Linked DNA regions of Sus scrofa. The protein of the gene in region 1 interacts with the protein of each later gene in a pairwise test. Links are inferred from orthologs where the notes say so. Each region holds a gene or a part of one and is shown in the gene's direction. Other genes may lie near its edges.

The links.
Region 2: the proteins of THAP7 (region 1) and LURAP1 interact in a two-hybrid assay, tested with the Homo sapiens proteins (2 studies listed by BioGRID and IntAct). The two-hybrid records come from large-scale screens. The link is inferred for Sus scrofa from reciprocal best matches to the Homo sapiens genes THAP7 and LURAP1.
Region 3: the proteins of THAP7 (region 1) and GOLGA2 interact in binary tests that used the Homo sapiens proteins (3 or more experiments, as listed by UniProt). The two-hybrid records come from large-scale screens. The link is inferred for Sus scrofa from reciprocal best matches to the Homo sapiens genes THAP7 and GOLGA2.
Region 4: the proteins of THAP7 (region 1) and CCNDBP1 interact in binary tests that used the Homo sapiens proteins (3 or more experiments, as listed by UniProt). The two-hybrid records come from large-scale screens. The link is inferred for Sus scrofa from reciprocal best matches to the Homo sapiens genes THAP7 and CCNDBP1.
Region 5: the proteins of THAP7 (region 1) and MTUS2 interact in binary tests that used the Homo sapiens proteins (3 or more experiments, as listed by UniProt). The two-hybrid records come from large-scale screens. The link is inferred for Sus scrofa from reciprocal best matches to the Homo sapiens genes THAP7 and MTUS2.

What each region holds. Positions count from the first base shown.
Region 1 is NC_010456.5:50,589,556-50,595,914, reverse strand, and holds THAP7 (THAP domain-containing protein 7), read left to right. Parts: upstream 1-2,136; 5' UTR 2,137-2,141; coding exon 2,142-2,354; intron 2,355-2,526; coding exon 2,527-2,606; intron 2,607-2,927; coding exon 2,928-3,083; intron 3,084-3,503; coding exon 3,504-3,644; intron 3,645-3,818; coding exon 3,819-4,383; 3' UTR 4,384-4,503; downstream 4,504-6,359. Other genes in the region: tubulin alpha-3 chain, read left to right, coding at 1,424-1,720. UniProt on the Homo sapiens protein: Chromatin-associated, histone tail-binding protein that represses transcription via recruitment of HDAC3 and nuclear hormone receptor corepressors.
Region 2 is NC_010448.4:165,204,406-165,210,780, reverse strand, and holds the start of LURAP1 (leucine rich adaptor protein 1), read left to right. Parts: upstream 1-2,589; 5' UTR 2,590-3,099; coding exon 3,100-3,297; intron 3,298-6,375. UniProt on the Homo sapiens protein: Acts as an activator of the canonical NF-kappa-B pathway and drive the production of pro-inflammatory cytokines. Promotes the antigen (Ag)-presenting and priming function of dendritic cells via the canonical NF-kappa-B pathway.
Region 3 is NC_010443.5:268,708,985-268,714,561, reverse strand, and holds part of GOLGA2 (golgin subfamily A member 2), read left to right. Parts: intron 1-230; coding exon 231-347; intron 348-600; coding exon 601-644; intron 645-746; coding exon 747-810; intron 811-1,212; coding exon 1,213-1,272; intron 1,273-1,466; coding exon 1,467-1,547; intron 1,548-2,348; coding exon 2,349-2,387; intron 2,388-2,628; coding exon 2,629-2,691; intron 2,692-2,780; coding exon 2,781-2,874; intron 2,875-2,974; coding exon 2,975-3,081; intron 3,082-4,377; coding exon 4,378-4,436; intron 4,437-4,760; coding exon 4,761-4,902; intron 4,903-5,577. UniProt on the Homo sapiens protein: Peripheral membrane component of the cis-Golgi stack that acts as a membrane skeleton that maintains the structure of the Golgi apparatus, and as a vesicle thether that facilitates vesicle fusion to the Golgi membrane.
Region 4 is NC_010443.5:128,255,226-128,260,896, reverse strand, and holds the end of CCNDBP1 (cyclin-D1-binding protein 1), read left to right. Parts: intron 1-2,115; coding exon 2,116-2,176; intron 2,177-3,672; coding exon 3,673-3,719; intron 3,720-3,979; coding exon 3,980-4,091; 3' UTR 4,092-4,466; downstream 4,467-5,671. UniProt on the Homo sapiens protein: May negatively regulate cell cycle progression. May act at least in part via inhibition of the cyclin-D1/CDK4 complex, thereby preventing phosphorylation of RB1 and blocking E2F-dependent transcription.
Region 5 is NC_010453.5:6,202,132-6,207,708, forward strand, and holds part of MTUS2 (microtubule-associated tumor suppressor candidate 2), read left to right. Parts: intron 1-2,746; coding exon 2,747-2,987; intron 2,988-5,577. UniProt on the Homo sapiens protein: Binds microtubules. Together with MAPRE1 may target the microtubule depolymerase KIF2C to the plus-end of microtubules. May regulate the dynamics of microtubules at their growing distal tip.

The sequences.
Region 1 (6,359 bases):
AGTGTCCTGTACCGATTCCCCTCCTCACTGGCTGAATTCCTGAGCCAGGCGAAGATTGGTCTGTGGAAAGGTACAGGTCACAGCTTTGTCCATAGAAGCTCCTTCTTTTTTCTTTTTTTTTTCTTTTTTCTTTTGAGGGCCACACCCATGGCATATGGAGGTTTCCAGGCTAGGGGTCAACTCGGAGCTATAGCTGCTGGCCTGTGCCAGAGCCACAGCAACATGGGATCTGAGCTGTGTCTGTGACCTACACCACAGCTCATGGCAGTGCTGGATCCTTGACCCACTGAAGCGAGTTCAGGGATCAAACCCGCAACTTCAAGATTCCTAGTCAGATTTGTTTTTGCTGCGCCACAACAGAAACTCCCATAGAAGCTTCTGAATCTTAGAAGATGGTTCTGCCCCAGATGGACTGTGTTGAACTCTCATGGCTTCCAGTCCTTTTTGTTAGTCTGTGACTTCACCATTTTTTCAGGGGTATACTATTTCCAAGGAGTCTTTTCTGTGTTTAAGTTATTTCATTATAAAAAGGCAAGTATGGTGCAAAATATTAAAATGGTCCAAAAAGCTGGTGAAAAGCTGAAGTCCTCTTCCCTTTCAGAGCTTTGTCCTTCAAGAGATACTCTGTGCGTATTCACATCATGCTTCTTGGTAGTGATCTTGACAGCAAGAGGCCAGCAACACAGGCAAAGAAAATACACTCTTTTCATGTAGGTGACAGACTTGACTCATCGCACACAGGTAGCCAAAGGGAAAAGCAAGGTGGCAGCCATCCTGTTTGGAAGGGCTGGCCAGCCTGGTCTTAGAGCTGGGGGGTAGGGGGCACCCCTTGATCAGATCAGAACCCCCTGTACATGCCCCCTGCTCCCAGTTCCTCTGGAGAAGAGCTGCGTCAAGCTGGTGCTGGCTGCCAGCTGCTCCTTAGGTCAGGGCCAGCCATCTGTCCGCACTCTACCAGTTGTTTGTCCTCCAGCATGGTATCTCCCAGCTTTGGTTGTTACTCTGTAAGTATTTTGAAGTATAAACACTCAGGTAGAATTCAACTTGCTCTGCTTTCTACCAAGTATACAATACACCTTGGACATATTTACAGGCCAGGGCAGGTTCTTCATTCCTTTTCATCATGGTACCGTGTTTTACTGTAGAGATGTGTGATAACTTGTTCCCCAGGAAGGACATGTTTCCAGTTTTGCCATTTCAAACAGTACCCTAAACTAAATACATAAAAATCTCTATACATGTAGCTTTTGCTCTTATGTGGGTAAATCCAAAACGTGACAGTATTGGGTCAAAGAATATTAAATGTTGTCAGATACTGCCAAAAAAGAAAGTACCAATTCCCATGGGGCCTTGTTTTAAAAAACAAGGTACCATTTTTCACGCCACAGTATAAACGTCTCCATCTGTTCCCCTTCTCTGGCAGGTGGGCATCAACTACCAGCCCCCCACGGTGGTCCCAGGGGGAGACCTGGCCAAGGTGCAGCGGGCCGTGTGCATGCTGAGCAACACCACGGCCATCGCCGAGGCCTGGGCCCGCCTGGACCACAAGTTCGACCTCATGTACGCCAAGCGTGCCTTCGTGCACTGGTACGTGGGGGAAGGCATGGAGGAGGGCGAGTTCTCGGAGGCCCGGGAGGACCTGGCGGCTCTGGAGAAAGATTACGAAGAGGTGGGCGTGGACTCGGTGGAAGCGGAGGCCGAGGAGGGGGAGGAGTACTGAGCGGGAGGGCGAGGCGGCCCCCCTTCACCCTGCTCTGTAACGTTCCAGATGTGTTTACCTATTAAAGTTTCTGTATTGAGTGTCGTCTGCTCCTGTGTTGCTCTTCGGCCAAGTTCCCCGACCAGATACTTGCCTTTTCCGAGCGAATTCCTAGGGAAAAATCATGTTTCCTCCCAAAGAGAAAAAATGAGGCACCTCAGTTGCTGTATTACTTCCAGAATAAGAGTATAAGGCCAGTGGGGAAATCGGGGAAAATGTTTTAAGTTTAAACACTCCGGATCCTTCGCGCCCTTCCTCCGGGACCGGAAGCGGTCCGGGTCACAGTCGCGGGACCACAGCGTTCACCCTCCTCGCCCCGTCCTCTGGAGGAGCTGCCCCAGAGCCTCCCTCCCGTCCACAAGGGGCACCTCTCATCAGAGGCATGCGTGCCCGCCCAGCCAGGGCTCCGCATCGCACGACCAGCCCGTTCTTGTCAGAGTCGTTTCGGTCCTGCGCGCGGCGCCCCGCAGGCCGACCACTTCCGGGGCCCGCTCCGCCCCTCAGCGAGCGCCGCGCGCTTCCGGGTCTCTATGGTACCGACTTCCGCCGCGAGCCACATCTCGCGAGACTTCGGCGGCGCAGCAATGGCGAGACCGTAAGTGCCGCTGACGGGAGACGGGAGAGTGGGTTGGGAAGGGCCTCTGACGAGATCGGGCCGGTGTGGACGCGCCAGGACGGGGCCGCCTGGAGCAGGGTGGCGGCTAGGGGCGCGAGGCTTGTCCGGGCCCAGATAGCAGCCCGCAACCGAGTTCCTGCCTCTTCTCCAGATGCCGCGTCACTGCTCCGCCGCCGGCTGCTGCACGCGGGACACGCGAGAGACGCGCAACCGCGGCATCTCCTTCCACAGGTCAGCGCGCGTGCGCGCTGGCGCCGAAAGGGTCACGTGTTCATTAGTCTGTCCTGCCCACCTGAGGAGCCTTCACTGCGCACGCGCTTCGGCGGGTCCGGCGAGGCTTGAGTTAGAGGCTGATGGTGGGCGGAGCTGCGGTGGAGAGGGAACTAGCTGCTGTCAGAGGCACCCTGGTGCAGAGCCAGTCGCTTTACGTTTTGAGGCCTCAGCTTCCTAGTCTGTGTGCCCACAGGGTCCGGGGGCAGCATGAGTCAGGCCGGCCCTTCCCATCCGGTGTGTCGCCGGCGGCCCAGCTCTGACAGGCTTGTTGCCCTACAGGCTTCCCAAGAAGGACAACCCGAGGCGAGGCTTGTGGCTGGCCAACTGCCAGCGGCTGGACCCCAGCGGCCAGGGCTTGTGGGACCCAGCATCCGAGTACATCTACTTCTGCTCCAAACACTTCGAGGAGAACTGCTTTGAACTGGTGGGAATCAGGTGAGCCTCCTGCTGACACCAGGGCAGGCCGCCCTGGTTCTTCCCAGCTCAGAATCTCAATTTCCTCTCCGGACGGAAGCAGTTAGAGACACACACACCCCGGGTATCACTGTGCCAGAGGGTGCTCCTGGAGCCCAGGCACGCCAGCAAAGGCACAAACATAGCCGCTCCTTTCAGGGGGTCAGCCCAGTTCTGGTGGGGCCTTTCCAGTCACCTTAATTCTCAGGAGGCTCTCATGGAGGAGATGGGGTACCTCTTAACTTGGCATCCCCCAAACTAGCTGTTTGCAGTGTGCCTCCCACCTGCCCCAGTGCTAGCCCAGGATCCTGTTCAGGGGCTGGGGGGCTGCAGGCTCCGCACCCTGCAGGTCAGCCTGGGGTGCAGGCCCTCTTCTCTACTTCAGACTGCTTTCCCCTACAGTGGGTACCACAGGCTGAAGGAGGGAGCAGTCCCCACAATATTTGAGTCTTTCTCCAAGTTGCGCCGAACAGCCAAGACCAAGGGGCACAGTTACCCACCCGGCCCCCCTGATGTCAGCCGGCTTCGGCGATGCAGGAAGCGGTAAGCGCTGCGCTGGGGGATGTCCCACTTCACGTCTGAGGGACTGGGCTTTCGGATGGAGCCTTGCTGGACAGGGCTCTGAGCCTATGGTTCAGGGATGGGGGTTAGGTGGGCTGGTGAAATGAGGTCACTGAGCCCTGAGCCTGGCCTGTCCCTTGCTCTGTCTCCCTGTAGCTGCTCTGAGGGCCGAGGGCCCACGACTCCGTTTTCTCCACCTCCACCTGCTGATGTCACCTGCTTTCCTGTGGAAGAGGCCTCCGCACCTGCTGCTCTGTCTGCTTCCCCTACTGGGAGGCTGGAGCCTGGCCTCAGCAGCCCGTTCTCAGACCTCCTGGGGCCCCTGGGTGCCCAGGCTGATGAAGCAGGCTGCAGCACCCAGCCCTCCCCCGAGCGGGAGCCCGAGCGGCAGCCGTCCCCTCTGGAGCCTCGGCCTGTGTCACCCTCAGCCTACATGTTGCGCCTCCCTCCTCCTGCTGGAGCCTACATCCAGAATGAGCACAGCTACCAGGTGGGCAGTGCCCTGCTCTGGAAGCGGCGGGCTGAGGCTGCCCTTGATGCCCTGGACAAGGCCCAGCGCCAACTGCAGGCCTGCAAGCGGCGGGAGCAACGGCTGAGGCTACGGCTGACCAAGCTGCAGCAGGAGCGGGCACGGGAGAAGCGGGCACAGGCAGATGCCCGCCAGACTCTGAAGGAGCATGTGCACGACTTTGCCATGCAGCTAAGCAGCAGCATGGCCTGAGTGAGGAGCTGCCCATCAGGGTTCCTGCCTCTTCCTCCTTCAGGATCTGCCTAGAGAGGGACCTGACTTGAGCTGTGTCTGACCTGCCAGATGCCATAATAAAGCGGTTTCTAGGAGTTCCCATTGTGCCTCAGTAGGTTAAGAACGTGACTAATATCTGTGAGGATGTGGGTTTGATTCCTGGTCTTACTCAGTGGGTTAAGGATCCAGTGTTGCCACAAGCTGCACTGAAGATAGCAGATGCAGCTCGGATCTAGTGGTGCCATGGCTATGGCATAGGCCCCAGCTACAGCTCCAATCCCTGGGAACTTCCATTTGACACAGTATGTCCCTTAAAAAAAAAAAAAAGTGGATTCTAGAAAGAAGCCCTGTTCTCTGCCTCTGCTGGGGGTGGGGCCCCCTCCCTCCCCTGAGGTCTGCTTCCCCCCAGACTGGCTGTAGCCTGGAGGGCTCAGACCCTGGAGGCCAAGCTCTTGGCTGTGGAGAGCAGAGCCCAGTTCTTGGCAACCCCTCCCCAAGCAGCTCCTTGTTCTACAACATTCTCTGAGGGACAGGGTGGTGTGCATAGAGGTCGGGGGCAATGCTGGGCAACCTTCACTTGACACTAAGCCTTGATTTACCCAGCTGGCCTTTTTGGAAACAGTCATAAAATCCAGGCCAGATTTACTTCGTTTTCAAGAAAACAACAGACTTCCATCCCCAGACCCAATGTCCTTGGCAGTCAAACATGGCAGAGTGTCTGTGCCCCAGCTGCTGCTCAGCCCCCACTCAGCACAGGCCTGCTTCATCTGCAAAATGGACAAGATTACTGATCTCAGGCTGCTGTGCCTGGCAAGCAGGGAGGGCCCCACAACCACCTTTCTGGTCCCTGAAGATATGGGATGAGGCATGGAGACCAAAGGGCCATGCACGTGGGCCAGTCCTGGCTCAACCTGTCATCTTCCTTCAGTCCAACTGGACCATGGAAGGCCTCTTGGCTCCTGTAACCATCAGCTCAGAGTGTGAGGACTTAACTTGGCACATGACATCTCCCTGCTGGGCCTCAGCCACAAAGGTCCCAAGAGCATAGCTGAATCCTTTTAAGTCCTGGAAATGGGCCTGCAGGGATGTGAAATTTGCTGCCTGGGGCCCTCAGAGTCCAATTTCATTTATTCACTTCATGCCCGGGAGAGGCAGATGCAGAGCAGGATCACAGGCAGGTCTCGAGGCGTCTCCTAGCGTGCTGGTGGCCTGCAGGTAACTCCCCTTGCCCTAGAATGTCCACCTGCATCTGGCACCTGGGGCTCCTCAAGGCCTGAGGTATGGCAGGTGCCCCAATAAGATGAGGCACAGCCAAAGGCAGGAAACTAAGGCGCTGACCATTTTCCCTGAAGTGGCTTCCTGGCAGCCAGGACAGAAGGGTTCTTACTCCCAGAGGGGAGACAGAATCGTACCTTCTCCACTGGAGTGGACTTCACCTTCCATTGGGACAAGGAAGGACTCTGCCTATCCTTAGTTTCCCAGCTCAGGAGCAGAGGAGCCAGGAGAGCTGGCTGTGGGCCCCAGGCCTCTTGGGTGGGGGGTGGGGAGAGGCCAGAGGCTGGCCTGCGCTCCGCCCATCCCTCCCACCCCTAGGAGACTGGAGCACCTCAGTGAGGGTGGGGAGCTGCTGGCAGGCTGATCCCAGACCATCAGGCTGCAGCTCCAGGAGGACCTAGGCCTAGAGCCCACCAGTGGGGACTGCGCGGCAAGGTGTAATGTGTCAGTAGCACTGCTGTGGTTTTAATGGAAGCGAGCCTGTGACAATAAAGACTTAGTGAGGGACAGGCAGGGACCTGGGGGCACCTCCTCTGACTTCACCCTGGCATGCCTAGAGCCATGCTGCACACTCAGGCAGGTGGGACCCCAGAGCCCTTATCTGTGCGGCCTGTCCAGAGTGCCTGACCTTGCAGGCCGGGGGCTAGCCTTGGGGCCCTTCAGGCCCATAATTCATCTAC
Region 2 (6,375 bases), on another chromosome or scaffold:
AAAAAAGCAAATCTATTTTGTCAACCTCTGATTTAAAACCCTTTCATGGGAAAAGGGAACTACACTGTCGGTGGGAATGTAAGCTGCTGCAACCACTATGGAGGACAGTGTGGAGGTTCCTTTAAAAAGTAAATGTAGAGGAATTCCCATGGTGGCGCAGAGGAAACCAGTCTGACTAGTATCCATGAGGATTCGGGTTGGATCCCTGGCCTTGCTCAGTGGGTCAGGGATCCAGCGTTGCTGTGAACTGTAGCAAAGGTCACAGACACGGCTTGGATCCCACATTGCTGTGGCTCTGGTATAGGCCAGCAGCTATAGTTCTGATTTGACTCCTAGCCCGGGAACCTCCATATGCTGCAGGTGCAGCCCTAAAAAGCAAAGAAAAGAAAGAAAAGTTAAAGAACTACCATGTGATTCAGCAATTCCACTCCTGGGCATATACCCAGAGTAAACCATAATCTGAAAAGATACATGCACCCCAATGTTCATTACAGCACTATTTATAATAGCCAAGACGTAGAAGCAACCTAAATGTCCATTAACAGAGAATGGGATAAAGAAGATGTGGGACATATACACAATAGAAGCATATCATGGACTATTACTCAACCATGAAAACGAAGGAAATAATGCCATTTGCAGCAACATGATGGATCTAGAAATTATCATACCACGCGAAGTAAGTCAGACAGAGACAAATATCATATGTGATCACTAATGTGTGAAATCTAATAAAAATGATACAGAACAACTTACACAACAGAACCAGACCGAAAGATTTTGAAACCAAATTTATGGTTACCAAAGGGAAAATGTTGGGGCGGGGGTACATTAGGGAGTGGGGATTGACATATACACGCTACTGTATATAAAACAGGTAACAAGAACCTACTGTGTGGTACAGGGAGATGTACTCAAGTACTGCGTTATAACCTATATGGGAAAAGACCCTGAAAAGAGGTGGATATGTGTACATGTATAACTGATTCACTTCGCTGTACTCCTGACTTACAACTTTGTAAGTCAACTCTGCTCCAATTCAAAAATTCTTAAAATGTTTATGATGAAAACGAACCCTTCCATGGGATTTCTCCTGTGGTGCAAGGGTTAAGGATCCCATGTTGTCACTGCAAAGGCTTGGGTCACTGTTGTGGCTCAAGTACACTCCCTGGCCTGGGAATTTCCACCTGCATTGAGTGTGGCCAAGGAAAACAAAATTTTTTTTTCTAGGGCCACGCCCACGGCATGTGGAGGTTGCCAGGCTAGGGGTCTAATCAGAGCTACAGCTGCCAGCCTATGCCAGAGCCACAGCAACTCAGGATCCAAACCACGTCTTCAACTTACACCACTGCTCATGGCAACGTCAGATCCTTAACCCACTGAGCAAGGCCAGGGATCGAACCCGCAACCTCATGGTTCCTAGTTGGATTCATTAACCACTGAGCCATAACAGGAACGCCCAAAGAAAATTTTTTTAATTAAAAGATAAAAAATAGGAGAGTTCCCATGATGGCTCATCAGGTTACCAACCCGATTAATATCCATGAGAATGTGGGTTCAATCCCTGGCCTTGCTCAGTGGGTTAAGGATCCAGCATTGCCATGAACTGTGGTGTAGTTCTCACATGTGGCTGGGCTTCGGTGTTGCTATGGCTGTGGCATAGGCCTGCATGTGCAGGTCCAATTTGACCACTAGCCCAGGAACTTCCATATGCCTCAGGTGTGGCTGTAAGAGAAAATAAATAAATAAATATGTAGGAGTTCCCACTGTGGTGCAGTAGGTTAAGAATCTGACTGCAGTGGCTGTGGTCACTGCAGAGGCATGGGTTTCGATCCCTTGCCTGGCACAGTGGGTTAAAAGATCTAGCATTGAGGCAGCTGCGGCATAGGTCACGGCTGTGTCTCGGATTCAGTCCCTAGCCTGGGAACTTCCATATGCTGCTGATGCAGCCATAATAAATAAATAAGTAAATAACGATAGAAATGTGTGGGACCAATGGAAGAAGGGAAATACAGATTGTGAGGTAAACCCATATTTTTCATAATAGGTAGCAGATCATGTGAAAGTTAAGACATAGTGCTACAAACCTATTTTGGAGTTATGAGTATAAGCACCAGGAAAACATAGCTAAAAGTAATTGCCTCTGGGTAGTGCGACTAGAGGCGGCAAAGAATAGGATGGCGGTAATAGCTATGTTTTCGTTACACATCTTTCTGTAATGATGGGCTTGAATAACTCGGATTGAAAATCAAAATCAAGCTAGAGCATAAAAAGTTTTTTATGGCACCTCATTGCCCGTAGAATAAAATCCACGCACAGAACCATCTTTATAACCTTGTTACTCAAGTGTGGTCCCTGGACCAGCAGCAGGGCCGTCGGCAGGGGGCTTGTTTGAAATGCAGAATCCCAGGCCCCACCCCAGATGGATGGAACAGTTATCTGCATTTTAACAAGATTCACAGAAACTTCACATATGCATAGTCAAGTTTGAGAGGCATCAGTTTTCAAGATCACGATGTAGCCCATCTGGACCCCTTCAGCTTCAATACTGGCTGCCCCTCATTGGCCAGAAGAACTTGACTTTCCACGCTTATAGTCTAAATTTAGTGGCTACACTGGTTTTGTGTGTGCGTGCATCAGTGGGTAGCTAAATTCCTCCACTGTTACAGACTCAGCTCCTCTACTCTAGGAAGCCTTCCAAAACCCTCTGCATCTCTGTTACCACTGTTCCTTAAAATCCCACATCCCTAACTGCAAATGCTTAACCTTCATTCAGCAAACATTCTTTGGGCGCCTGCTGACAACCTGGCTGGACTGAGTGCCAGAGTCGGGAGCAGGCGCTGAGCTCTCCTCCAGGTGCATAAGCAGGATCGCCCAGCCTCACCCATTTCGGAGCCAGCGCGCGCAAACACACGCAATCACACACGCACAAACACACAGAGCTCTGCGCGGCTTTTCTGAGGGTTACGGCGCCCTCCTCCCGCCCCCGCACTGAGCGGGCGGGGACCCACTGGTTCCGTACTAGCGGCCGAGGAAGGAGGACCCCCAGGAGCGGGATCCCGGCTCCGGTCGCCCATCCCTGTGCAGCCTTAGACCCGCATGGAGGGGACTGCGGAGTCCCAGACGCCTGACCTTCGAGACGTGGAGGGCAAGGTGGGCAGGAAGACCCCCGAAGGGCTGCTGCGCGGGCTGCGAGGCGAGTGGGAGCCGGGCACCTCTGGCGCCCTGCTGCTCCCAGGGGCGCCCAGCACCGGCCACGGCCTGGGGGACAAGATCATGGCGCTGAGGACGGAGCTGGTGAGTGTGGGCTCCATGGGCCAGGGGGCCGGAGACCCTAGCATGGGGCTGGGAGGGATGGACTCGCGCTCTCGGAGTTGGGCTGGAGAGGAGGGAGTTAAAACTCCCCGCCCAACTCCTCAGGATTCCGACCTAATCAATCTTTAAACCCTGGGGTCCTTTGAACGCCTTCCCCACCTAGGGTGGGTGGGGTGTTCGTGGGTCCTGAGGAATCAGGATGGGAGGTGCCGGTTTTTCTAAGTTTTTTTTTTTTTTTCCTGCCAAATAATTGGGAGGGAGAGGAGGGGACGGGGAAGCCCTGAGAACCTGGCGCAGCACAGATCTCCCGCTCCCCCTGACTTGGAGGCCACCTCTCCCGGCCTAGCCACCATTACAGGGCGACCAGTTTTTTCTCCTTCTGCAGACTGGGCCCAGGGTTTGTTCCTCTCAGGCCCCAGTATCCACCACAAGATTTCGCACAGAAGCGATATGGGTGAAAACTGCCTGGACTAGGGCCACTAAAAACATCCTCTTTCCTCAACACCCCCCCGCCCCCCCGCACCCACTTAAAATATTCAAAAGTTCCTAGAACCTTAGCAGACACACAGGAGCAGCGCCAGCAGTGTTGGTCCCATCACTTCTTCCTTTTTTTTTTTGGCTTTTCTAGGGCTGCACCTGAGGCATACGGAGGTTCCCAGGCTAGGGGTCCCATCACTTCTGACACAGTCTCCTTCCTGCCAACCCCCAAGTACACTGGATATTTGCATCTCATCTGAGGAGAAGCGAAAGAAGCAGGTACCCAAACTCCCCTTTCCTGTTGCTGCTCATCTAGATTCAGAGCCAAAAGGGCAGTTGGGCACACACTCCCCAGGCTCCCTGGTTCCGGGGAAGGGGGTGATTTACACCTGCCACCACTTTGCAGCCAATTCTGGGGAACTGAGGAATTGCCAGCCACTTTCTGGCCCAGAAACAGGAACCCACAGTAAATATGTCAGCGGACAGGTCTTCCTGGAGCCCTACTGTGTGCCCAGCTCTGTGCCAGGCTGAACTGTGGAGCGTGGGGAGAGGGTGGAAATGGAGGCTCCCTGACAACCTCAGAGGCTGGGAGGAGAGCTTTGTGGGCAAAGTAATCAGGGAAGGCTTCCTGGGGGAAGGGTTTGAATGCCCTGTGTCTACTTGGCCTGGAAGGTTGGAGCAATTGTTAAATTCTCCAGAGTAGGGCTGTAATTGTGCTGATCCAAGCGAGGGGTCCAGCTTTGTCTCGCTGTGCAAACTTTAGCTCAAGGCCTAGAAAGAGCTTACTCAGAGTGTCTTGCTCTGGAAACTGACTTCACCAAGTACAAGTGCCAGGCATCGTGTTGAGCATGTTACGAGTCCTCACAGCAGTTTATTAGGTAGATGGTATATTACAGATGAAGAAACTGAGGTACAGGGAGTTCCCTGGTGGCTCAGCGGGTTAAGGATCCAGTGTTGTCATTGCTATGGCTCTTGTAGCTGCTGTGGCTTGAGTTTGATCCCTGGGCCTGGAACTTCTGCATGTGCCCCCCCCCAAAAAAAGAAAGAAATTGAGGTGTAGGAGTTCCCATCACGGCGCAGTGGGTAATGAATCTGACAAGGAACCATGAGGTTGCAGGTTCGATCCCTGGTCTCGCTCAGTGGGATAAGGATCCGGCGTTGCCGTGAGCTGTGGTGTAGGTCGCAGACATGGCTGAGATCTGGCGTGGCTGTGGCTCTAGTGTAGGCTGGTGGCTACAGCTCCGATTAGACCCCTAGCCTGGAAAACTCTATATGCCGCAGGAGCAGCCCTAGAAAAAGCAAAAGACAAAAAAAAAAGAAAAGAAAAAGAAATTGAGGTATAGAGTCATACAAAAAGTGAAAAGCAGAACCAGGCTTTGAACCCAAATGATCTGCCTTTGCTTTACAGCTTCGCCATTGAGACCTGCTTCGCACCAGACACATGAAACGTTTTTTGCTGTCATTAGAGTTAGAAAAGCAATCATCATTTTCCCGTCTCACAGAGGAAGCACGCTTACACAAGTTAAGCATGCTTGCCTGCGCTGACAGTGGGAGCCAGGGAGTAGCCATGCCTAGTCTCTCTGGCTCTCTTTTCTGCCTTTGGAGATTATTGTTTATAAACTTTAAGGAGTACATTTAACTTTTTTTTTTTTTTTTTTAATGGCCACATCTGCAGCATATGGACGTTCCCAGGCCAGGGACTGAATTCCAGCCACAGCTGTGACCTACACTGCAACTGTGGCAACAATGGAGCCTTTAACCCACTGCCCCAGGCCGGGAATTGAACCCCCGCCTCCGCAGTGACCCAAGCTGCTGCAATCATTCTTAACACCCTGCACCATAGTGGGAACTCCAAAGCGGGTACGTTTAACTTCTGTTTGGGGAGTTCTCTTCGTGGCTCAGTGGTTCACAAATCTGACTAGTAAACCATGAGGTTGTGGGTTCGATCCCTGGCCTTGCTCAGTGGGTTAAGGATCCGGCGTTGCCGTGAGCTGTGGTGTAGGTCACAGACGTGGCTGAGACCCCACGTTGCTGTGGCTCTGGCATAGGCTGGTGGCCACAGCTCCGATTTGACCGCTAGCCTGGGAATCTCCATATGCCGTTGGTGCAGCCCTAGAAAAGGACAAAAAAAGACAAAAAACAAAAACAAAAACAAACAACTTCTGTTTGGGCATTTCTGACCAACCTGGCCTGGGGCCCTGAGCTGCCCGTGAAGAGCACGAGGGAGGGAGCTTTCCGGGGGACCAGTACGGGGTAGGGGGTGGGGGCCGGGGGCGCTATGTACCCCATGGATTCCTTTCTCCCCCCCGGGCCTCAGGTGTCTTTGGTCTCTTTATGCCCTCTGCCCGACCCACTGGGTTGCACACAGGGAGGACCAGGGGCCAGGCAGTGGGTTTCCTCTGAGCTCCTTGTGGCAGAGCTAGTCCAAGCCCTCTAAGCACCGTCCTTCAACTGTTCCTCTCCCAGTTTCCCTGCAGGGAGGGGGCAGGCCCACTCTGGAGGCCAAGGTCATCCCCTGCCTCTGGGCTGCTTCCCTCGCTTCTGCAAAGGCTGAGTGAACCAGACAGACTCTGGGATCTGTGG
Region 3 (5,577 bases), on another chromosome or scaffold:
TGTTCACGGAGCCAGTGTAGTTCATGCTCTGAGCATCAGCCGTCCAGAAGGCTGCAGAGTGGCCTGGGGTCTGGGGAGCCATAGCCACACCCCAGAGTGGCTCCCAGCATGTGTGACTGTCACTCTGACTGCAGCAACACCTGTCCTACCCGCTCTGCACCCCTGCATTCATGGCAGCGAGGCGCCTTGTTCCCTGCATGGCCCTAACCCCCTGCTCTGTTCTGTGACAGGCACCCAAAGATAGTGCAGATCTTGTTACATCGTCTGCTGATGACACCGTGTCACCTGGCGGTGTCCTTTCCCCCTGTGCTAGTCCCCTCCGTGGCACTAGCATGGCAACAACTCAGGTTTGTGCCTCTGCCTGCTGCCTCACTGTCTGTTCGCCTCTCTTCCCCCCCGGTGGTCCTTCCCCCTCCTTCAGGTGGCGTGGTTGCTAGAGCCAGGCGCCCTGCCCGAGGGCTGGGATGGGGCAGGCCGACACCAGGTTCTCCTTAAGGTTCGGGGTGATGGAAGGAAATTGGAATGAACTGGGCACACCTTGCCCCTGGGTGGTTCTTACCAGAAATTAAATGACGGCTTCGGACATTTCTTCCCTAACAGAACCATGATGCTGAAAATGGTCCTGTTCCCATTGATGAAAACACGTGAGTGTCTCCCACGGTGACAGCAGTCCCCAGGCCACTGCCCATGACCCCCCTCTTTCCCCTCGAGCCTCCTGCCCCCCTGACTCCTGTATTTATCCCCAGATCTTTCTCATCCACCGAGAGCCTGCGACAGCTATCTCAGCAGCTCAACGGTCTTGTGTCCGAGGTACCCCCAACCTGGAGCCCCGAGGGGGCGAGAGAGGGAAGGAAAAGGTGGCAGAAAGGAACCGAGGCAGAGATTCCCAAGGCGGAGGGAAGGTCCTGGGAGCGGCCAGCTTGGCTGGACGATGTTTAGCTAATCATTACTTCCCTGAGTCTCCTCTTTGTAGCTGTACAGATGAAGGGGTTGGACCATGAGACTGGTTCCACCGTTCTGTCCTGCTGATGGGAGCTGCTTGGGAGGGAGGGACACAGAGAAGCTGGCACAGAGGGCTTGAGCAGGGGGAAGGGGACCAGCTTAGGCAGAAAAGGAAATGCTGCCAGTCGATGGGCAAGACAGGATGTCGGAGGGCTTAGGCCTCGAGGGGGACGGAGAACGTCTCCATGTGAGCCCTCTCATCTCTTCTAGTCTTCACCTTATATCAATGGGGAGGGCCTAGCATCTCCTGCTAACATAAAGAAGCTGGAGGTAAGTGGGCCTGGACCGTGGCCCCGTGACCCTGCAGGTCAGCCACCTCCCGCCCCCCCCCTCCTCCCACAGCGGGGGCTAGGTTCCCCACTGCCAGCTGAGACAGCTCAGACACCCCCCGACCCTAATGATTGCTCTCTCTACCTCTCCCCCCACCCTCCTCCAACTCCTCCTCCTCTCTGCATGCGCCTCAGAGCCGGTACCACGAACTATCACTAGCCCTGGACTCCAGCAATCTAACAAACAAACAACTCAGTAGCAAGATAGAGGAATTGGTAAGAGTCCAGTGTTGTCCCCGATTCCACGCTGCCAATCTGGGGCTCCAGTTCCACCTTGGGGCTCCGAAGAAAGGGGCTGGGGGCCCCTGGTACCGAGGGAGAATGGGGTGCCGGGGGCCCAGGTTGCAGTGAGAGGGACCCGGGAGTGCGGCATGCAGCATGGCTCTCTCTGTGGCTGCCCTCTTTGCCTCCTCTGTTCTCCAGACGCCCCTGCTGAGTCCTCCCCCCCCTTGCCCTGGGCCTGGTGCCTCTGTGGGTAACACTAGCTTGACAAGGGTGTCCCAGCCCCGGCTTCAGCCCCTGATTCGCTCCAACTTTGACCTTGGACAAGTCACCTGTCCTCCCTGGGCTTTAGGAGGTAGAATTAGAGGGCGTCCAAGGTCCCTTTGAGCTGGAAAAAAAAGAAAAAAAAAAATCAAAGATTTGAAGGTCCTTCTCATTCCTATATCCTTGCTGGTAAGAACACCCCAGCCCGTGGTATGTGCGTGTTGAGCGGATGCAGCCTCCCAGACTGCGAGCTGGCGGAGGATGTGGTCGCTCCCTTCTCACACTCCAGCTCGAGAGGCTTATGTCCTTGTCCTCGCAAGGGAATCAGGTTCAGACCCTTGGCTTCTGTAGCTGTGAGCCCCACCTCCCAAGACCCAGAGTCTCTTGGCTGAGAAGCGATGGCCCCTTCGTGTCCCCAGCAGCTCCTCCTTTGAAGCCCACCCCCGGCCCCTGCTCAGCCCTCCTCCTTGGTCTGAGGATTGTGGGAAAGGGGGCCGACCTCAGTCTCCTCCCTTTGCTTCTTCCCCACAGAAACAAGAGAACCAGGAAACTCTGGATCAACTGGAAAAAGTAACGTGATTTCTGTGTCTGTCCCCCTCACGGCTGGTGGCTTCGGGGGAGGGTTGAGACGTAGAGGCCCGTTCTCCTCGCGCCTGATCGCAGCCCGGAGAAATGGGGGGCTCCCTGGCCCTCGCCACCCCTCCCTCACCCCCGATTATATGTTCTCATTGGTGAGACTGTCCTGGGCCAGTGGTGGCTTTCTGGGGGGCACCTCCTCCAGGTGAGAGCTGTTTCTCCTCTCTTCCCGCAGGAAAAAAAGGAATTTGAGCAGAAGCTTGCGAAGGAACAAGGGGCTCTGAGAGAACAACTGCAGGTGAGTGGATCCTGCCGGGTTCCCTCGCGGCCTCCGGGAAACGTGACTTTGCTGCTTCTCAAGCCCCCCTTTCGGCCTTTGTCCCACAGGTCCACATCCAGACCATCGGGATTCTAGTGTCTGAGAAGACGGAACTGCAGACCGCCCTGGCTCACACCCAGCAGGCAGCCCGGCAAAAAGCAGGTGGGAACCTGGGTGCCCTGTGACCCCCTGGGCCGGGCACGCTGGCCGGCCTGGAGCGGGAGTCCTTCCTCGGGCTTCACCTCTCACGCCGTCCTTTCAGGAGAGTCGGAGAATCTGGCTAGTCGCCTGCAGTCTTCCAGGCAGCGCGTGGGCGAGCTGGAGCGGACGCTGTCTGCCGTGTCCACGCAGCAGAAGCAGGCCGATAGGGTGAGCCCGGCAGCCTAGCCCTCCCCGGACGTGTAGTGGAGGGCGAGTGAGCCCAGAGGTCCCTTCCACAGGATGGGGTGACTTGCTGCCCAGAAGGCGGCACTGGCCACTTCCCGCTGCTCTAAACTCGTGTGCTTGATAGAAGCAACCCAGGCATGAGTTGGTTGCCATGGGCCAGTTGCCCGTGTGTGTGTGGTGTGTGTGTGTGTGTGTGTGTGTGGGCGTGCACGCAAGTGCAGTCACAGTGGAGGTGCTGTCTAGTGTGAGCCCTGGATGCAGAGCTCAGAGTCCGAGTGCCAGCCCTGCCCTTGCCTGGCTGTGGGCCCTGGCCCCCATGCTAGGTATTTGGACTGTGAAGGTCCATGACGGTATTTTTAGTACGTTGCCAAACTAAAGAGGGGAGACGCACGCGTGTGTGATGTATTCAGACATGTGGGGAGGGATTCACAGCAACCTGGTGGGGAGGAACAGGGTGGCTGAGAGACTTGTCACTTCTGAACCTTCTGAGTTTGGGGCTCTGCAGAGGTACCATCCACTCAAACCATGAACACAAGCTCACAATACAGTTCAATCCCCCTCATAATGCACCCCCCCACCCCAGGGAGAAAACGTGGTTAAAGAATCAGACAGACCTGGGAGGTCCCGTTGTGGTTCAGCGGGTTAAGGACCCAACTGGTATCCATAAGGATGTGGGTTCGATCCCTGGCCTCGCTCAGTGGGTTAAGGATCCGGCATTGCTGCAAGCTGCAGCGTAGGTTGCAGATGCGGCTCGGACCTGGCTGTGGCTGTGGCGTAGGCTGGCAGCTGCAACTCTAATTTGACCCTAGCCTGGGAACTTCCACATGCCACGAGTGTGGCCCTAAAAAGGAACAAAGGAATCCAACAGACCTGGAAGCTTGGTCCCAGCTCTGGGTGATTTTGGGGGAGCCACTTGCTCTCTGCTACTCCGTGCTGGGCACCTGTATGATGGAGGCAGTAATAGTAACCGCCTCCCACGGTGATTATGAGGCTGAAAGGGGAAAGTGCTGGAAAAGGTTCAGACCTGGTGACGGTAACGGTGATAGAGCTGGTGGTATTACCTGCCGGCCCCGGGCCTGGGAGCCAGCCAGCCGGGAGTTAGACCCTCCACCCACCTCTTCCACTCTTCCCGAGTTCCTGTTAAAACTGAATGCGAACGTGAACTTGGGAAGGGCTTTGGAAACATGTAAAGTGTGACACCAGGTGAGGACACGTTGCTGAGAGTTACTGTTGCTGCCGTTAGTCTGTTTTCCTGACCTCAGCCTTCCGCCTTTGCAGTACAACAAGGAATTAACCAAAGAGCGAGACACCCTCAAGCTGGAATTATACAAGAACAAGTAGGATGGGGAGGACGGGGCGGGGTGGGGGGCCTTGGCTGGTGTGGGGCTGCCAAGTTGGGGGGGCATCCCAGTGAGCGGGGTGAGGAGGCGGGAGAGGTTTCGACGAGAGCAGAACTAGGCTCTCATGCCAGCTGTGCCGCCAACTCATGCTGCGGCCTCAGGCAACTCGTGTCCTGTCTCTGGCCTGCCGCTTGTGACTCCTGATCCCGGGGTCCCTTCCAAAGCGACTGTCCTGTGGTCCTGTGCCGAGGGTGGTGGGTTGATCACCAGAGCGGTCCTTTGCTTTTCACTCACGCCTCCCTCCCCTGCCTCCGAGCGCAGCAAAAGCAATGAGGACCTAAAGCAGCAGAAGTCGGAGCTGGAGGAGAAGCTGCGGCTCATGGCGACAGAGAAGGCAGCCATGCAGCTGGGGATGGAGGAACTTCAGAAGAAGCTGGAGATGTCGGAGCTGCTGCTGCAGCAGGTGGAGCTGGAGCCCCAGGGAGGGTGCCCCTCTGCCCCCCGCAGCAGGCCAGGGTCTCAGGGATACCTAGGGTGGCCTTGGCCAGGAACTAGAAGACTTGGATCCTTGTTCTGGTCCTGCCATGGAATCCTCCAGAGGTGGGAGAAAAATTAAGGCCTTGCCCAGACCTCCGGAATCATAATCTCAGGGATGGGTTTGCTTTTTTGTTTTTTGTTTTTTGTTTTTTGTCTTTTAGGGCTGAACTGTGGCATATGGAGGTTTCCAGGGTACGGGTCTAATCGGAGCTGTTGCCACCGGCCTACATCAGAGCCATAGCAACACAAGATCCGAGCCGTCTGCGACCTATACCACAGCTCACGGCAATGCCAGATCTTTCACCCGCTGAGCGAGGCCGGGGATTGAACCCGCAACCTCATGGTTCCTAGCCGGATTCATTTCAGCTGTGCCACGACAGGAACTCCGGGGTGGGGTTTTTGTTGTTATTGTTATTGTTTTTCGGCCAAGCCCGTGGCATGTGGAAGTTCCCAGGCCAGGGATCAAACCCGCATCACAGCAATGACGGATCCTTAACCAGCTTCGCCACATGGAACTCCTGTGTTTATTTTTTAAAACACCCTGGTCGAAAACCGTTGTTTTGTGAATGGTGGTTATAAGGCCAACTCGTGAGTCTGTTTC
Region 4 (5,671 bases), on another chromosome or scaffold:
AGCCACAGCAATACCAGATCTGAGCCATGTCTGTGACCTGCACCAAAGCTCATGGCACCACTGGATCCTTAACCCACTGAGCTGGGCCAGGGATCAAACCTGCGTCCTCATGGATGCTAGTTGGGGTCATTACTGCTGAGCCACAATGAGAACTCCTTTTTAAAAAAAAAAAAAATCTGTTTTAAAATTTAGAGTATAGTTGATTTATAATATTGTGCCAATTTCTGCTGACCCAGTCACAGACACACACACACTCTTTATCTCATGCTATCTTCCATCATGTTCTATCCGAAGAGATTGGATATAGTTCCCTGTGCTGTATAGTAAACCTCATTGCTTATCCATTCTAAATGTAATAGTTTTCATCCACCAACACCAAATTTCCCCATCCATCCCCCTCCCTCCCCCTTGGCAACCACAAGTCTGTTTTCTATGTCTGTGAGTCTATTTCTGTTCTGTAGATAGGTTCACTTGTGCCATGTTTTAGATTACACATATAAGTGATATCATATGGGATTTGTCTTTCTCTTTCTGACTTGCTTCACTTATATGAGATTCTCTGTTTGCATCCATGTTGCTGGACATGGCATTATTTCATTCTTTTTTATGGCTGAGTAGTGTTCCATCGTGTGTATGTACCACATTTTCTTAATCCATTCATCTGTCGATGGACATTTAGGTTGTTTCCCTATCTTGGCTATTGTGAATAGGGCTGCTGTGAGTGTACGAGTGCATGTAACTTTTTGAATTATGGTTATGTCCGGATATGTGCTCAGGTGTGCAATTGCTGGGTCATATGGTAGTTCTACATTTAGTTTTCTGAGGAACCTCCATACTGTTTTCCATAGTGGTTTTAACATTTTACATTCCTACCAACATTGTAGGAGAGTTCCCTTTTCTGCACAGCCTCTCTAGCATTGTTATTTTTAGGTTTATTAATGATAGCCATTCTGACCAGTGTGAGGTGGTGGTGTTCACATTTTTTTCTGTATTAATTTATTTCTCTATAATTAGATGTAGCATTTTTATCCCTGAACCATTTGAGAGTAAGTTGCAGATATTGATGACATTTCACCCCTAAATTTCAGCATGTATCTTCTAAGAACAGACATTCTTATGCTTTTTCTTCGTGTTACATATAAGAAATTTATCACTGAATATAACAGCATTACCTAATATTTACATTTCTCCAGTTGTCTGTAAAATTTCTGACAGCTTTTTTCTTTTTTTCCCCTTTTTGGTCTCTTGCAACTAGAATAGTCTCTGTCCTTTTTTTTTTTTTTTTTTTACTTTTTTTTTGTTTTGTTTTTTAGGGCTGCACCTGTACCACATGGAGGTTCCTAGGCTAGGGGTGAAATTGGAGCTGTAGCTGCCGGCCACAGCCACAGCCACAGCAATGCAGGATCTGAGCCATATCTGCAACCTAGACCACAGCTCATGGCAACGCCGGATCCTTAACCCACTGAGCAAGGCCAGGGATTGAACCTGCAACCTCATGGTTCCTAGTCGGATTTGTTTCCGCTGCACCATGGTGGGAACTCCATTTTTAACCTTTTTTGACATTGACATTTTTACAGAGTCTAGATCAGTTGCCTTTTAGAAAATCCAAAGGTCTGGATTCATGTGATTGTTTTCTCATGATTATAGATTATATTCAGTTTAAACATTTTTTGGCAAGAATTGCTTTTCATTGCATTATATCAGGGAGGCACATAGTTATTAGTTTGTCCCATTATTGGTGGTCCTAAATTGATTGCTTGGTTAAAGTGGTGCCCATTTTAGTGGCATTCAGGGATGAACCCTGCCTGTGTCAGTTATTAAATTGATGGTTTCAGATCCTCATGTTTTTAACTGAATTAATCACATTCCATCCTAATGGCCAAGGGAGTTTTTTTCCCTAGCTCTTTCGTGAAACAGGGTGTGTATGTATTCAGTAAATACCGGTCGAATTGGTTATTCATTGGTTGCCCGGTTTAAGGAACCGATAGATATTTCTGAGTTATTTTCTCACTAGTTGCATCCATAGTTGTGTATTAGAAATCATTTAGCTGAGCTTTTTTTGTTGTTGTTACTCTTTTTGGGGTATTAATGGTTATTTTTGCTTTCTGCCCTTAGTGTGGATGATTTGGCTCTGAGCATATACCCACCTGTGTGCCACCTGACTGTGCGACTCAATGTAAGTACTGGCTTTGAGGGAGTAGCCACAGACCTAACTGATAGAATTTCAGTGATCACTAGTGTTTCCTTTAAGCTATAGGGAATGTATTTCTTTGTTATGCTTGGTACAAGTACAACAGTAGTGTCATAATTCTTACATATGTTTGTACTTGATAAATATTTGCTGAATTTGAATTAATGAGCTCTAGTAGTACTCTCTTCCATAACCACTTGGGTAATTATTTAGAAAAACCTCGAGACCTTAGAAAAATGCTGCTTTGAAAAGAAAGTCTTAATTGCCGCAGTGCTTTAGGATTCTCTCAACCTGAAATCTCAAGTTTCTAATTTCTGCTATAGGCCAAAATAAGTGATTCAGAAGCATGCTCTGGGAATTCCCTGGTGGCCTAACAGTTAAGGATCCAGCATTGTCACTGCTGTGGTGCAGATTCAGTCCCTTGCTCAGGAACTTCTGCGTGCCACAGGCGCAACCAAAAAACAAAAACAAAAAACACTTTGCTTTAATATCAATACATGTGTGATTTAACCACGAAGAGTCAATCTCTTTATAAAAATCTGATTTTATTATACTTTCAAGTCCTTGGTTCTGTGCTCAAGTTCTATTCTCTTATTTTTATAAACTTTAAGTTCTTATCATTTTATTGGAAAGAGAAGTAGAACTGCCAATGGCTAATATTTTACCATTAGATGTATCAGCCCTTATTAGATAAATTAGTGGAAGTTAAAGTTATCAAATGCATCTTCACAGTGTACAGACACCTTGGAGTAGAATAGGAATCCACATCTGCAACCTTCATCACAGCTTGCTGCAACACTGGATCCTTAATGCACTGAGCAAGACCAGGGATCAAACCCACATGCTCATGGATACAAGTCAGGTTCTTAATCTATGGAACCGCAACAGGAACTCCTCTGTTTTATTTAGAGGAACTCCTCTAAAACTATTTTAAATTAAAAAAAAAAAAAAAAGCTTATGAAGGTATTACAGCAATGGTATTAATAAGATTTTGCTAAATAAAAAATAATCCATGATCCCACCATCCTAATCTAATCAGTCATTTTTGTTTTTGACTGTTTCCTCCAAGGTTTCTTTTTTTTTTTTTTCCAATGAGTTTTTATTAGTTGAGTCTTAAAATATTTTTTCTTTGGTTACACCCTTGGCATGCAGAAGTTCCCAGACCAGGGATCAAACCCACACCATAGTAGTGACCTGAGCTGCAGTGGTGACAATGCCAGATCCTTAGCCTGCTGCACCGCAGCAGGAACTCCTTAAGATATTTTTTAAACTTCTTTTTTTTGGCAGTGCCCAGAGCATGGGGAAGTTCCTGGGCCAGGGATCAAACCTGCACTGCAGCAGTAGCCCAAGCTGCAGCAGTGACAATACCACATGGGAACTTTAGGAGCTCCTTAAAATATTTTAACTCTCCTTTTCTTTTTTTATTCCTTTCATTTTTATGGTAGGGCTCAAAGTGAGTAACTTCTTTGTTTTTTTCCTAGGCTGCAAAACTTGTATCTGTTTTAGAGAAAGCACTGGAAATTACAAAGTGAGTATGAAGACTTCTTCCCAAATAGCTTTTTGAGAATAAACCTGTCCAGTCATTCTTAACTCCTTCACCCCCATTTTGAGGAGTAGGAGAAAGTGGGTATAGTGTTTTCTTTCATCTTCACTTGTGAAATAGCTGAGTGTCGGCAAAGAAACTTGCTTTTCTTACTGTAGTTTTCCCTGTGCTCTCTGTTGGGGATAGGTTTTCCCTTGACAGTCAGTGTAAATACATTTAATTTCTCTTTCCCATTCCATTCACAGAGCAAGTCATGTGACCCCACAGCCAGAAGATAGCTGGATCCCTTTACTTATTAATGCTGTTGATCATTGCATGAACAGAATCAAGGAGCTCACTAATGAAGTTGAATTATGAGTTTTCAGGCTCATTCGTACTCTTCTCTGTCCCTTTCCTACTATCTCAGCCAAGCTCTGATGTCTGCTTTTAGAGTGGGGCTAGGATGCTTTCTAGAACAAAACGGAGTTCCTGTCTATACTTATTAATTAAGAGACACTATTACCAAAGATTATTGATTAGGTCATACTAGTAATTATTTATAAACCATTTAAGTATGATATATTTTTCTGTGCTAGATACAAAAGATAATTGTATGAGTGTTTGTTCTTGAGTTGCCTCTCAGAGATTCCTGGGGAAGCTGCCCTTTTTGCAGTAAAGTGTGTCATTTCTTTGTTAAAGATGTTGATAGTGTCAGTAAAATGCTTGGTGCCAGTAAAATGCTTGATTAACTGAGGTACCCTTCCAAAGTGTCTTTCTACCAGAAATATGTGGGTTGAGACTAGAATATTGCTTTTGTTTAGGTTTTTAGGTCTAAAGATCTGATTCTGATCAGAAACATATTTAGAACAAAAACACTTTATTTAGAGCAGATGCCTCCAAAGGCCTTGTTAGTACTTCAGCATGTTTTATAGTTATTCTCACCAGCAACTTCTCCTGAATATTATTCCAGGTTAGGTTACTCAGTGGCTCTGAAATTATTTTTTGGTATTGAGCTTGTGAAAATTAATAGGGGGAAATCTTGTGTAAAATAGAGTTGAAAAAAAAATTTTTTTTTAACTAAAAAAATTAATTAAAAAAAATTAAAAAAAAAATGGAGTCGAGAGGCCAGAAGGGGGAGCACTCATGCACTGCCACTCTAAGTAACAGGAAAGACTGAATTCCTGATAGAAGTGATGTGAGTTGCATCTCCTGCCAGAAATTGACTACCCCAGCTACTAAGGCAGTGGGAACCCCTCATCACCCAGAACTCTCGCTTTCCTCCGTTTGAGCAGTTGTTCAAAACAGCTGCTCCCAACTTCCTCCTTTGTGGTGGCTTTTACTATAACCTTCTTGACCCTAATTGCAGTTCTTTGCTGTTCCAGAACAAACCCATTTTGCTGATAAAATAACTGCCTCTTCTGTTTTTTATGTTAACAAGCTCAGTTATTAAGATTTGTCCACCTTATTGAACAGCCTTGTTTTCCTTATGCATACTTAAATTGTTATTGTCTGTTTTGTATTATGTGTCTCCAAATGTAAGCACAATTTTTTTTTTTTTTTAACAGCTGCACTTGCAGCACATGGAAGTTCCTGGGCTAGGGGTCAAATATGAGCTACAGGCTGGGCCCTACACCACAGCCATGGCAACTCCAGATCCTTAACCCACTGAGCCAGGCCAGGGATCAAACCCTTATCCTCACAGAGACAGTGGTGGGTCCTTAACCGACTGAGCCACAGCAGGAACTCCCAAGTACAAAGTTTTTATAAGTCAAAAATTTTAAATGTCTGAGAGTTTATATAACTTTAAGGGCCTCTTTGGTTAATCCTTTTGCAAAATCATTAACAGACAATAATATTTTTGCATCAGTATGGAAGATCACATCTTGGAAAATAAGGTATACAATACTGCATATTTTAGTGACCTGCCTTAGACCTTATGCATGTATTACTGGTTTCCA
Region 5 (5,577 bases), on another chromosome or scaffold:
GCGCTCTCCAGAGAAACAGATCGTCTACACAGGCATGGGTGTGTGTACCTGGTTTTCTATCTATTGAGACTGTAAGGAATTGGGTCCCACAGTTATGGAGGCTGGCGTATCCAAAATCTGCAGGGTGGGCTGGCAGGCTGGAGACCTAGGGAAGTGTTGATGCCGCGGTTCAAGTCCAAAAGCTGTCAGTTGGCAGATTTCCCTCTTCTTTGAGGGAGGTCAGTCTTTTTCTGTTATGGCCTTTGACTGATTAGATGAGGCCCACCCACCTCAGGAGGTAATCTGCTTTATTTAAGGTCTACTGAATTCAATGTTGATCTCATCCAAAGAAAAAAAAATTACCTTCAGAGAAACATCTGGAATAATCCTTGCCCAACTCTCTGAGTTGCGTTGCCTATCAAGGTGACACCATGAGCCATCCCCAGCCCTCTCCCTGCACCTGTCCCAGTGAAGCTTCAGCATTTGCCTGGTGTCTCCCCGGCCCATGGTCCCCTGAGAACAGGACAGGGCAAACGGGAAGGGGGACAATCTAGTGAGAACTTATTAGTTCCTTGTGTGACTTGAGAGATTTTAGAAGTTTGAAATCACAAAGATGCTTTAGTTTGCTTTCAAAATTATTTCTCTAGAAAGACTCCTTTAGAGAAGGAGAGAAAAGCCCCATTTGGGTTGAATCTGTCTGCATTTGTGACTGCAGTGAATCCTGCTCTGTCCTGTCAATAGAGATGAAAGCAAAGCATGTGAAGCTTTTTGTAGACTCTCTTGTTTTATTAAAAGTGCACAGATGAGGCATCTGAGGCATACGTCTCACCTTTGTAAAGAATTTGTTATCTTACTAGAGACAAATTACCCAACAAAATGATAGACATTGAAGCTCTTGAAAACATTAAAGTTATTTTTGAATGACAGCGGGGTGGGTTTTTTTTTTTTTTTCTTTTTTTTTAGGGCTGTACCTGTGGCATTTGGAGGTTCCCAGGCTAGGGGTTGAATTGGAACTGCAGCAGCCAGCCTACACCACAGCCACAGCAATGCCAGATCCTTCACCCACTGAGCGAGGCCAGGGATTGAACCTGCGTCCTCATGGATGCTGGTCAGATTTATTTCTGCTGATCCACAATGGGAACTCCAACAGTGGGATGGATTTGACCCCTGGAGTCTGTCCGGTTTGAAAGAACAGAATCATTACTGACACAGAGGACACTGCAATCCTAAAATCTCAGCAGATGTAGGTTAGAAATGATACTGATTTCTTCATGGGAGCACCAGCTAAAAGCAATGAGCAATGACACCAAACATTTAGAAAGTAAAATTTAAAAAAAAATAGAGGAAATGTGAGTATAATAGAAAAGCCGAGGATTGATAGTAAGAGCGTAAGTAGAAAATGGTGAAAATTTTATCAGGCAGCAGATGTAGAATGTTCTTTCACAGGAATTGAATTTGCCGTGGCCTGAATTCCATCTATCTGCTCTAGCGATCATGCATATTTTATAATGTGATTATGATAAAACTTTAAAGGCCTCGTCTTTTGTTTCAATAATGTCAATTTGAGGAGAACTTTGTATCTCTTTCAACAGTCAAAGGGTATTAAATTAAGGGTTTATCGCTTCCACATCCGGGATTACAGCTTTACAGCCCCTATTAAAGAATATGGTTAAACGCCTGTGATTTCTGAAGAGATGGAGGTTTGACTAGTCGAATGCATTGTGATTTTAGAGCGGAGTTAATTAACATCTGTATCTTTTCAAATGTAGCCTCTGGCACTATGTTTTTTGTTTTTTTTTTAACTTAAAAGAAATAAGATTATTTCGTTCTCTTTTTACCGTGAAGAAACACTGATACTGTGAACAGGCTTGTGAGTACAGGATTGCCTATTTAAAAGGTAGCCATCAATAGTATCCTCATCCGCCCTGTGAACCACAGCAGACTGTCACATGGTGTCACGTGATTAAATTCAGGAAAGAAGGAAACACGATCCCTTTAGTTCCCAGAGGTTTGCTGATTTCAGCCCCTGCGCTAAATGCTGTTCTAGGTGCGATGCATTCAGCAGTCCTCACGCAAGACTCTGCCCCCAACTTCCATCCTGGTGAGACTTGCTCAAACATTCCTGCAGGCACCACCTTACTAGGAACGATAATCAGAGGTAGTTCACAGTCTCTCCTTTTTAATTATGGAAACAGAAGGTAGAGGCCTGAGCAAAGACGTCTTTGCATTAACTTCTCCATTCCTCCCAATAACCTTTTCTCCCTCATTAACCGTGCATAGTGTATTTCCTAAGTAGCCTAATAAAGACGTCACATCACCTGATAAAGTTCATCAACTTCACGGAAGACTAGGTCACTAGAAAAATTGTGCCTCTCCTCCTTAGCAATCATGGAACTTTCCGAATTCCATGAACATTTGCTAAATTCTCCTCTTGCATCATTGACAGTCTTTATTTATAGATTGACTTCTTGCACAAATTCCAATGGTTTGGGGGTGATCAAATTTAAAAATCTTATAGAGGGGGTTCTTTTTTCTCCCAGGGAAATATAGTTTCATAAAGTGTTAGAACCAGCATAGACCTAAGAGGGCATCCAGCCGTGGTCCACTTGGAGATGAAGACGCGGGGTCCAGTGAATGTAAGTGACGGGGGGTGGAGCGACTCGATGGTGCCCGGTGGTCATTGCTGGCGCCGTGGTGTCTGGACTGGGTTCAGCACTCGTCCTATGATGCTCGGGTCTCTGACTGAGCTTCTGGTCACTTATCGTAGGTTGCAGAACGCCCTGGAAAAGAGGAATTTTGTTCTCCTCCCTATACGCACTATGAAGTTCCTCCAACCTTCTATCGATCGGCCATGCTCCTTAAGCCCCAGTTGGGATTGGGCGCGATGTCACGTTTACCGTCTGCCAAGAGTCGGATCCTGATCGCAAGTCAGAGGTCTTCAGCGAGCGCCATCCACCCGCCAGGAACCCTAGCGACCGCTGCCGCTCTCTACAGTTCCGACCCTGCAGGTAACCAGGGCCACAAGGGCTGCTTTTTCCTGAAAGATTCATAAAGTGTTAGAACCAGCAGAGACCTAACCAGCATAAATCACGTAAAATGATGGTAACTAAGCATGAGTGCCTGTCCTGCCTTAGAAGATCCTTGTTCTGTTCTTCCATCTGGTTGTAGATACAGACAAGGCTCATCTCTCTGCACCTGTCATCCTCCACGTCACCTTAAAACAATGGCCCTTGTAACCACCACCTCACTTCCTGTATTTTCTCCCTTCTCTGATACATCCTATGGACTAGGGTTTAGAAATTTTTTTTTTTCTGTGAAGGGCCAGATAGTAAATATTTTAGGCTTTGGGGGCCATAATGGTCTGTGTTATAACTACTCAGCAAGGGAGTTCCCGTCGTGGCTCAGTGGTTAACGAATCTGACTAGGAACCATGAGGTTTTGGGTTCCATTCCTGGCCTCGCTCAGTGGATTAGGGACCCAGCGTTGCCATGAGCTGTGGTGTAGCTTGCAGATGTGGCTCGGATCCCACATTGCTGTGGCTGTGGCCCTAGGCCGGTGGCTACAGCTCTGATTAGACCCCTAGCCTGGGAACCTCCATATGCCGCAGGTGCAGCCCTAGAAAAGACAAAAAGACAGAAAAAAAACAAAAACAAAAACAAAACCAAACCAAAAAAACCCCTACTTAGCAAGAAAATAGCCATAGACAGAACGTGAATACATGCGTCCAGCTGTGTTTTCAATTTACAATTCAATTTACAAAACCAGATATAGGCAGGCCTTGGAGATGCTGTGGGTTCAGTTCTGGACCACACAGTGAAGCCGATGCTGCAGTAAAGGGAGTTTTGGCTTCGCAGTGCATTTAAAATTATGTCCACCCTGTAGTGTGGTCTGTTAAGTGTGCAGTAGCACCGTGTCTCACAGAACAATAGATATACCTTAATTAAAAACTACTAGGGACCTCTCTCAGAGTTCCCGTTGTGGCTCAGTGGTTGGCGAATCCGCCTAGGAACCATGAGGTTGCGGGTTCGATCCCTGACCTTCCTCAGTGGGTCAGGGATCCCGCGTTGCTGTGGCTGTAGTGTAGGCCGGCAGCTACAGCTCTGATTGGACCCGTAGCCTGGGAACCTCCATATGCCACAGCAGCGGCCCAAGAAATGGCAAAAAGACAAAATAAATAAATAAATAAATAAATAATAAATAAAAAAAATACTGGGGAGCTCTCTTGTGGTGGAGGGGAGTTCTCTCATCACTGGAGCATCCTGGGTTACTGCCATGGCATGGGTTCAATCTCTAGCCTGGAACTCCCCATGCTGCGGGCATGGGAAAACTTTATTTATTCAAAGAAAAGAAACTTTATTTATTCAAAGCCCTAACCATCTTCCGAGCCTTCAGCACGTCCTGCTGGTAACCTCAAAGGTGACTGATCCCAGATCCTGACAACAAACAGAGTAACAACTTAAAATTTGAAATATTGTGAGAATTACTGAAATGTGACGCAGAAGCACTAAGCGAGCAAATGCTGTTGGAAAAATGGCACCAAGAGTCTTGCTCAAGGCAGGGTTGCCACAGATCTTCCATTTACAAAACATGAACTATCTGCAAAGTGCAGTTACATGAGGCGTGTCTGCAGCAGGCTGGACTGGGCCTGCGGGCTATGTGGTTTGTCAGAGGGACCTTCCTGCAGTCCAGCAGTGACCATGTCACACTTTTCATCTGTTCACAAATCCTTTTCTTTTCTTTTCTTTTCTTTTTTTTTTTTTTTTTTTTTTTGCTTATTAGGGCCACACCCGATGCATAGGGAGCTTCCCAGGCTAGGGGTCTACCTGGAGCTACAGCTGCCGGCCTATGCCACAGCCACAGCAACGCCAGATCCGAGCCGCATCTGCCACCTGCACCACAGCTCACGGCAACGCTGGATCCTTAACCCACTGAGCGAGTCTAGGGATCAAACCCACGTCCTCATGGATACTAAATGGGTTCCTAACCCACTGAACCACAACGGGAACTCCCTGTTCACACGTCTTGAACACCAGTTTTGTTTACAGAAGGGCCCTCCTCCCTCCTCCCGTGGCCTGTCCTGAGTTCTCTGCGCGTCTCTGTTTCCCCCTCTCCATCCATTCTTCTGCTCGTGTGGTTTCCTCTAGGTGTTACGTATTCTTTTATTATAGAAGGAATCCATACCTGCTGTAAAAATTTTTTGCATGTAGAAAAACATGCAGAAGAAAGTAATTGTCCTTATATTTTTACTTACACCTAGCCAGAGTTAATATTATGGAAATTCTTCTTCCAGTGTGTTTTTGTCTATGCATTTGTCAGTAGTTGAATTAATACTGAATGTGAGTTTTGGTTTTGCCTACTAACATCTTGCTGTAGGTATTGCCTGTGCCATCCATATTTCGGAGATGTTTGAATGGTAGCATCACATTCCATTCTGTTCCTTTATTTGTTAACCGAACAAATTCTGGGTACTTAGTATGTGCCAGAAGTTGTAAATTGAGGACTGCAGCAGTGAACAGAGAATTCCTGCCTTCGTGCAGCTGAGTCCAATGGATGAAAGAGACAGAAAGAAAGAAAAAAAATACATAATTAGAAATTGGG